Macaca mulatta: one gene and its partner. The protein of the gene in region 1 purifies or fractionates together with the protein of each later gene. This does not show direct contact. Links are inferred from orthologs where the notes say so. Each region holds a gene or a part of one and is shown on either strand. Other genes may lie near its edges. The genes, in order: WDR62 and MAPK8.

What was found.
Region 2: the proteins of WDR62 (region 1) and MAPK8 purify together in Homo sapiens (affinity purification with mass spectrometry; 5 studies listed by BioGRID and IntAct, counting the BioPlex papers as one, with this or other methods). This does not show direct contact. The link is inferred for Macaca mulatta from reciprocal best matches to the Homo sapiens genes WDR62 and MAPK8.

Annotation. Positions count from the first base shown.
Region 1 is NC_133424.1:47,322,515-47,326,325, forward strand, and holds part of WDR62 (WD repeat-containing protein 62), read left to right. Parts: intron 1-2,595; coding exon 2,596-2,653; intron 2,654-2,894; coding exon 2,895-3,065; intron 3,066-3,811. UniProt on the Homo sapiens protein: Required for cerebral cortical development. Plays a role in neuronal proliferation and migration.
Region 2 is NC_133414.1:60,852,977-60,857,260, reverse strand, and holds the start of MAPK8 (mitogen-activated protein kinase 8), read left to right. Parts: upstream 1-1,429; 5' UTR 1,430-1,573; intron 1,574-2,843; exon of another isoform or gene 2,844-3,037; intron 3,038-4,284. UniProt on the Homo sapiens protein: Serine/threonine-protein kinase involved in various processes such as cell proliferation, differentiation, migration, transformation and programmed cell death.

The DNA of each region.
Region 1 (3,811 bases):
CTGCATCTTTGACAGGAACAGACCAGAAGGGGTGCTGTGTTCTTCCCAGTGCCTCCTCTCAGGAGGTCTCCCGTGACTGGTGGTGTTCACTGGGAGCATTTGGCCAAGGTGTTGCCTTCCAGATTCCTCCACTTCAAAGCCTCTCTCTTCACCTTTGTGATTAGCAAGTATCCTGGGGAAATCTTTTCTGAGACTGTGCAAATATTATCCTGTTCCTCACCAAAGTTTCACTCAACTTATCTTAGACTTTGACACTTTTCAGATGCTCCCCAGGGAATTATAATGTACAGCCAAGACTGAGAACTACTGGCTTAGAGGTCAGGGCTCTGTCCTTTCTGGTTAGTTAACCGTAGCATGGGACTTCCCTGTGTTGCAGTCACCTCATCTGCAAAGTTGGTTCATGAGAGCCCTGACTCCATGAAGCATGTGTGAGGAATCAGTGCAGTGATGGCCACACAGCATTTGCTAGAGGGCCAGGCACAAGGTCGGGGCATGCGACAGGTTAGAGGTGGCTACAGACAACAGAAACCCCTCCACGGCGTAGCTTAAAACCCAAGGGCATGCTCCTCCTGCACATCTTAAGTCCGGAGGTGGGCAGCCCAGGGGCTGTGTCTCTGAACACCAGGGACCCCACTTTTTTTTTCTCTCTTTTTTTGAGATGGAGTCTCGTTCTGTCACCCAGGCTGGAGTGCAGTGGCGCCATCTCAGCTCACTGCAAGCTCCGCCTCCCGGGTTCACGCCATTCTCCCGCCTCAGCCTCCCGAGTAGCTGGGACTACAGGTGCCTGTTACCTCTCCCGGCTAATTTTGTTTTTGTATTTTTAGTAGAGACAGGGTTTCACCATGTTAGCCAGGGTGGTCTTAATCTCCTGACCTCATCATCCACCCGCCTCGGCCTCCCAAAGTGTTGGGATTACAGGCATGAGCCACCGCACCCTGCCCCACTTCTTTTTTTTTTCCAAGACGGAGTCTTGCTGTGTTGCCCAGACTGGAGTGCAGTGGTGCGATCTTGGCTTACTGCAACCTCCGCCTCCCGGGTTCAAACGATTCTTCTGCCTCAGCCTCCCGAGTAGCTGGGATTACAGGCGCCCAACGCCACACCTGGCTATTTTTTGTTTGTTTGTTTGTTTGTTTGTTTTTTGAGATGGAGTCTCGCTGTCTCTCCCAGTGTGGAGTGCAGTGGCGTGATCTCTGCTCACTGCAAGCTCCACTTCCAGGGTTCAGCCATTCTCCTGCCTCAGCCTCCCGAGTAGCTGGGACTGTAGGCACCCACCACCAAGCCCAGCTAATTTTTTTGTACTTTTTAGTAGAGACAGGGTTTCACCGTGTTAGCCAGGATGGTCTCGATCTCCTGAACTTGTGATCTGCCCGCCTTGGCCTCCCAAAGTGCTGGGATCACAGGCCTGAGCCACCATGCCCGGCCTATTTTTTTGTATTTTTAGTAGAGATGGGGTTTCATCATGTTGGCCAGGCTGATCGTGAACTCCTGACCTCAAGTGAACCTCCCACCTCTGTCTCTGAAAGTGCTGGGATTACAGGCATGAGGCACCGCACCCAGCCTCCATTCCTCTCTCCTTCTGTTCCACCCCATTTATTGTGAGGCTTCTGGTCTTGAAGTCACTTTATGGCCCAAGATGGAGTTCTGGCTGTTCTGTGCTTATTTCAGGAGGGGAACTGGTGGGAAGCGGGGCACACATCATGTCAGTTTACTTCTCCTTGGCCAGACTGAGTCATGTAGCTGTACCTGCATAGCTGCAAGCATGAAACTGGGATTATGTCAGTGAGGAAAGAGAGACAAGTGGATATCCAGGACGCAATTTGCCCTGTTTGCTGCTGTAAGGAACCACGGGAAGCCTGGGAAGCAGGTTGACTTGATGAATATTCCATGAAGTTGCCAAAGTCTCACTTAGTGACATTTACTTAGTTATCTGCACGCCAATTTACCATCTCACGTAGGGAGACAATTATTGTTAAGGAACAAAGGTAAAAACAAGATTAAAAGAGAGCGGGGAGAAGAAGGAAACCATACAATCTCAGAATGGTGAATCTTGCTGCCAGAAACCTGTCAGCTAGCCTGTTCATTCAAGTCCTTGTGCAGGCTAGCTAGGAGTATCAGAAACATTTTGGCTGTTTATGGATTTTCCAGAATATCTTGAGTATTTATCAGTGGAGCACATGCTGCAGGCTACCTTGATGTGATGTCTGCCAGGATCCTCCCATCAGCACCACCCCTTTAGTTAGGCCAGGCCTGTACCATTTCCTGCATCTCTATTTCTCAGTGTTATAGGGTGGGTGGGGTCTTAGGGTAGCCACTGCGGCAGAGAGAGAAGAAAGCAGGGTCCCCATACAATGTCTGCCCCATTTGGGTTTGGTATCTCAGGGTCGAAGGGGCTTTGCATTTACCCCCATTTCTCTGTGTGCTGTGCTGGGCACGCCAGCAGTACTGGCTCTGTGGGAGCTGCTTGAGCTCACCTCCCCTGGCCTCTTCTGAGGCTTGGGAGGCAGGAGAGGGCAGAGTCCTATCAGAGCCGCCAGGATGGGGTCTGACTGGCCACCCTTAGCGGAACCAGTGATCAGCTCTTTTCTTTATCCCCAGGAAGTCTCTGAGTGCTCTGGCCTTCTCCCCTGATGGGAAGTACATAGTGACAGGGGAGGTGAGTCATGATCACGATTGAGTGGGAGTGGGGGTTGGGGGGCCTCAGGAGCCATTCCTTATGCTCCCAGCAGGCCTGGGAGTCCCTGGAATAGCTCCTTCCTGGGCCAGAACAGCCCCGTAGCAGATGGGGGAGATGGCTTTTGGGCACACCCTATGGCAATGCAATCTTCAGCCTTGACAACCCCTCTAGCCCTGCCTGGTACAGAGCCCAGCAGCAGTAATGACCCCACCTTCCCTAGAATGGGCATAGGCCTGCTGTGCGCATCTGGGATGTGGAGGAGAAGAATCAGGTGGCGGAGATGCTAGGCCACAAGTATGGTGTGGCCTGTGTGGCCTTCTCACCCAATATGAAGCACATCGTGTCCATGGGCTACCAACATGACATGGTGCTCAACGTCTGGGACTGGAAGGTAAGACCAGCGGGCCTGTGGCAGGCAGCCAGCTGCCAGAGCATCCTGTGTCTTGGGCACTGGGAGAGCTACATGAGAGGACGCAGTAAAGTGCTCACTCACCCAACACATGACAGCTATTGAGCACCTGCGACATGCTGATCCCTTACTGTAAGGCACAAGATAGGTGCCCAGCTGGAAGAATTATAAATATTTTTATAATGACCAGCTGTGACCTTAGCCAAGTGACTTAACATCTCTGTGAGTCTGTTTCCTCCTCTGTTAGATGGATATAGTGCTACTTATCTTGTTGAGTTGTAAGACTTTAATGAGTTGATAAGCACTGGAAGACTGGGCTTTGGAACAGCTGTGGAGCTGGCAGAAGTGGGTACCAAGTCCTGGCTCTGCCCATAACCCACTATGTGACCTTGAGCACATGACATCTTCCCCTCTGAGCCTAGGAGGGTTGGGGAGAGGCGCCTCCCTCATGGGGCTATTGAGGGAATTTCATGGGTTATCCTGTGAAGGGCTCAGGGCAGGGCCCAGAGCAGGAGCACCATCCGTGACAGCCATAGGTTGTGTTGTCCTTACATCCCAGCCATGACTGTCCCCAATACCATGTGTGGGCTGCAGAGCTTAGACCCTTGGGAGAGCTCTGGAACATACTCTCCTGGGGGGACCATTCCAAGCCTCTGTCCCCTCCTCTGTGGTGAGGAATGAGCAGGTTGCCCCACATAAGTTTCCCCATACAGCAGCTCCCTGGAGGG
Region 2 (4,284 bases), on another chromosome or scaffold:
ACAGTTCCTCAGGGAAATCTTTTCTGGCCTTACTAACTAGTGTATTAGTTAGTTTCATAATATTATGTATCCTTAACAATTTGTATTATAATACAGTGATAATTTTGCATTTACTGTTATTACTTTCATAGTACAGTGATTAAATCTGTAAACTCTATTGTACTGCTAGGCACTGAATGGGCCTGCAATAAATAATTATTGCAGGAATAAAGGATGGAAGGAAGGAAATTAAGAAGGTTGAGAGGGAGGAAAAGAGGAAATGGGAAGAGAATGAATGAATAATCACCTGTATGTTCGCTTTTAGAATCACCAGAAAGAGGCCAGCCCCACATGTAATAGGAAAGTAGTCTACCTGAAATCATTCATTCATTCAACAAATATTTATATATTCTTTATTAAAGTAACTTACTTGTTTCCGATTGTGAACATAACTATTCCTCTTGGAAAACATGAGAAAATACCCAAAGTATAAAAGAGAACCAAGTCACCCTTTATTCCATAGTCCAATGACGAACCATTGCTAACATAATTTGGTGTATTTCTTTCCAGGTTTTTTCTATGTGTATATATAGTAACTAAGTGGGATCGTTCTATATATAAGACTTGTTTCTTGCTTCTTTCTCTTAATGATATATTGTTAACATTTTCCTGTGTTGTTAAGAATTCCTTGAACACATGGCGTTTAAATTGCTAAAATGTATTCTACTGCATGGATGTAGGTAACTTAAACGCCTTTCCACCTGTTGTTGGATATTTAAAGGCTTGTCAATTTATCGCTTCTGTAACATTTACACGTTTTGTGGGGCCTCAGAGGTAAACCAGGTAATGCAAGGAATCTGGGAAGAGGTGGATTTGCAAGGAATCTCGGAGGAAGTGGATTTTGGAAAAACTGGAGGAAGCTTTACCGGGGCAGCTGAAGAGAACACTTATCTCTCTGTAGGTTGCTGGGATCCGGACAGGTGTCCTCAGCATGGAACGTACTGTCGGTCAAGGTAACCAGCTCTTCATCACTCAGGTGTGTACCAGGAAGGGGTGTCTGTTCGCTGCGCAAGTTTGGCCTAAGCTCACCTGCCCTTCAAACCCTGTGGTGACGAGGCCCGAAGCCTTAAGCTCCGACCTGGCTACCGCCGCCAACCAGATGCAGTCCCCTGGGGCCACGCGCCGCCACGTGCCACCACAGGGCCCGCCCCTCCCGCTCCTGGCCACGCCCCTCACCCACTGCCCTCGGAGGCTCTCTCCGCGGCTCCGCCTCCAGGCGACCTCCGCAAGTTCTCTCAGCCCCGTGGAGTAGCCCCGCCCCCGGCCAGCGGCCCCGCCCCCGCAATCCGGGCCCCGGGGCTGCCCCGCCCCGCAGGCCACTCGGGAGGCGCGGGGGCGGCGCCCTGCGCGATGACGTGGGCGGGCGTGCGCGGTGACGGCCCGCGTCCCTGTTACTCAGCGGAGCGGCCGAGGCTGGACGACGCGGCTAGGATCGCGGAGCGGCGAGCAGACCTGGGTAACGGCCGCGGCGACCGCTCGGACCGCCCCTGTCCCCGCTGGCGGGCTTCCCTGTCGCCGTTCGCTGCGCTGCCGGGTGAGTGCGGCGGATGCCGCAGGGCCTGGGCGGCAGGCGGCCCCGTCGTGTTTATGTTATTGTGCCGCTGCCGCCGCCTTCTCCTCAGCCGTAACCCCCTCCCGGGAGTGGGGGCGGGAGCGCGCGGCGGGCGGGGGCGGCGCGGGAACAATAGCGGCGCAGAGGCGGGGGCCGGCCAAGGGGGCGTGGGGCTGCGGGACCTGGGCGCGCTCTGCTACCCGCCAGCCCGCCCGCCGCGGCGAGCCCCGCCCGCCTGTCCTCTCGCGTCCTCTTCGCGCGGGTCCTGCCTCCGCGGCGGGAGAAGAAAATAGCGGGGGGGTGGGTGGCAAGTTCTGAAACACTTCGGCAAGGGTCGGACAGAGGCGTCTCCGCGGCCCGCCGCACCCTGGCTGCCTCCGGGGCGGCGAGGAGCCGGGAAGAGGGCTTCTACCAGCGGGTCCCCAAGCCTGCCCCGCGCCCATGGGGACCGTATTTTGCTTCTCGGTGGTTTCTTTGTGCTCAGGTTCTGGGCGAAGGCAGGCAGCAGCGCTGAAAAGGGCCGGGATGGCCTGCAGCTCTGGGCTGCGAGGCACAGCCCAGGCCCGTGGTTCGGGTGGGAGGTGTCCATCCAGCTTGGCCCGAGCTTCGGTGGTCAGCGCACATTTCTCTTGAGGGTCACTCGGTGGTGACCTTTTGACTTTTTCACCCCACCCTCCCATCTCTTTGTCTCACATTTGTGTTCCGGATTCAGAGATGGTAGAACCAAGTCCATTTTAAAGTACCCTGATGAACACTTTCCGTTTTTATTTCTGAAAGTTCCCCGCCTGGTCTTTATTGCGAATTTAATAACATGTTAACTACATGGCATTGTCCAGTGATTACCGTTTTTACCTCTGAAATTCAGCGATCTGTCCAGTAGAATTCTGGTCCGTCAGTCCATTGTGTTTTGAGATAGGCATCCAGCAAATACCTCTTTGGCAATTAGAACATGTTTTTTCATTCATTCATTCATTCAACAACTGTTCGGTACCGTACCCAGATGAAGAGGTTTGGTTTGAAGGTAAAGGAAGGTATCCTTTCATGGAAGAGGATGCTTTGACTGAAGTATAATAGATGGACCTTTAAATGAGAGAATTACATAAGAGATGTCTGTTAAGGAAGGTATGGTTATGTTCTGGGTCATTTTTTAAGCAGTATATCTGGAAGTTCAAGTGTAATGTTAGGAAGTAGAATTAGATTTGGTCTAAATATACAACAGCTTTTGTTTATTTCTAAATTTTATTTTTTCCAGTCTTGCAGCCTTACAGTCATTTGTAATGGTTACCTCAGATTCCCCTGCTGTGGTTAACGTTAAACCTAGGAGGTCAGATGCTCTAAGTGAACATGTTTAGTGCTGTGCCTGACAAAAGCAAGCAATCAAAATGGGACTTCCTTGAGGGCAGGCCTGTCTTGCATCTGTTTCTCCACCACCTAGCCTGGAATATAGTAAGTGTTCAATAAAAGTCGGATTGATGAAAAGCTCTTTGTAATTGATAATATTTAAATTCAAGCCTTAAAAAAAACTGTAATGTTCTCCATAAAGTTTTGGAAGCTTCATGCAACTGTCGCTTCAGATGGCTAAATGATCAGTTCATGTACATTATCTGTTATGATGACATGGGCTTTTGAATCACGTGTAGGTCATTCACTGTCCTAAAATAAAATCTTGTCTAAATGTTTTTTTAATATGATTAATAAACTAAAGTAGGTTGTGGGGTGTGTGTTTCTGTGTATGTACTAGTTTATGTGTGTCTGTGTGTGTATGTACGTAATGCACACACAGGCACACATAAACTGGTATTTCAGTAGGGGTCTAAAATGATTGCATTTATAATTTTGTGAATATTATTTGAAAGGTTTTTGGTGACTCATTTTGTGAAAAATTGAGGACAAAGCCACATAAATGTTTTATTAGAAATATTTCTAATATTTTGGAAATGTTTACTTGAAATGTTTGGTTTTAAGTTCTAACTTGTGTTAACACATTGGTACAAAATATGATCCTAAAACTCAAAATAATTCATTTATCCAAGTTAAAGCTCTTTTCCACTCCCTGAACAGTTTAGCGTTTGTTTTGGATTTGAAAGAATACGAAAAGAGTGAACTAATTAATGAGCTTCTTATTATTTGGTGTAAAGTGGAAATGAAGAAATAAGAAAATGATACTTTTTTAAGATGAGGGATGAAAACCTTTGAGATACCAACGTTTTATTGCTTTACCTAGTTAAGGTATGTCAGCTTCTAGTAGGGGTTACTGACAATCCTTTGGCAGTAGCTCACAGTCAGCCTATGTAAAGAACCAGAGTTGTGTTATTTTGTTTTCCAAATTATTGGTTTTTAAAAATAGCTTTATTGAAATTTAATTGACATGAAATTCACCTGTTAGAGTGTATATATTTCAGTGGTTTTTAGTATATTCACAATGTTGTGCATTGATCACCATCACCAATTCCAGAACATTGTCATCACCCCAAGAAGAAACACCATATTCATTAGCAGTCACTCTGAATTTCACTTCAAATTATGCTTTAAAGTAAGAGATATAGCATCGATTCTGTTAGTAAATATATTCCTTTAATAAGTATGAAAAGGGCTCCTTTTAAGTGTCCTGTCCTGGCAGAATAGGAAACTATATCCTTCACACTCCTTTAGATCGGGGGAAATGCCATTTGGAAAGGAAGTTAGTGCAAGAA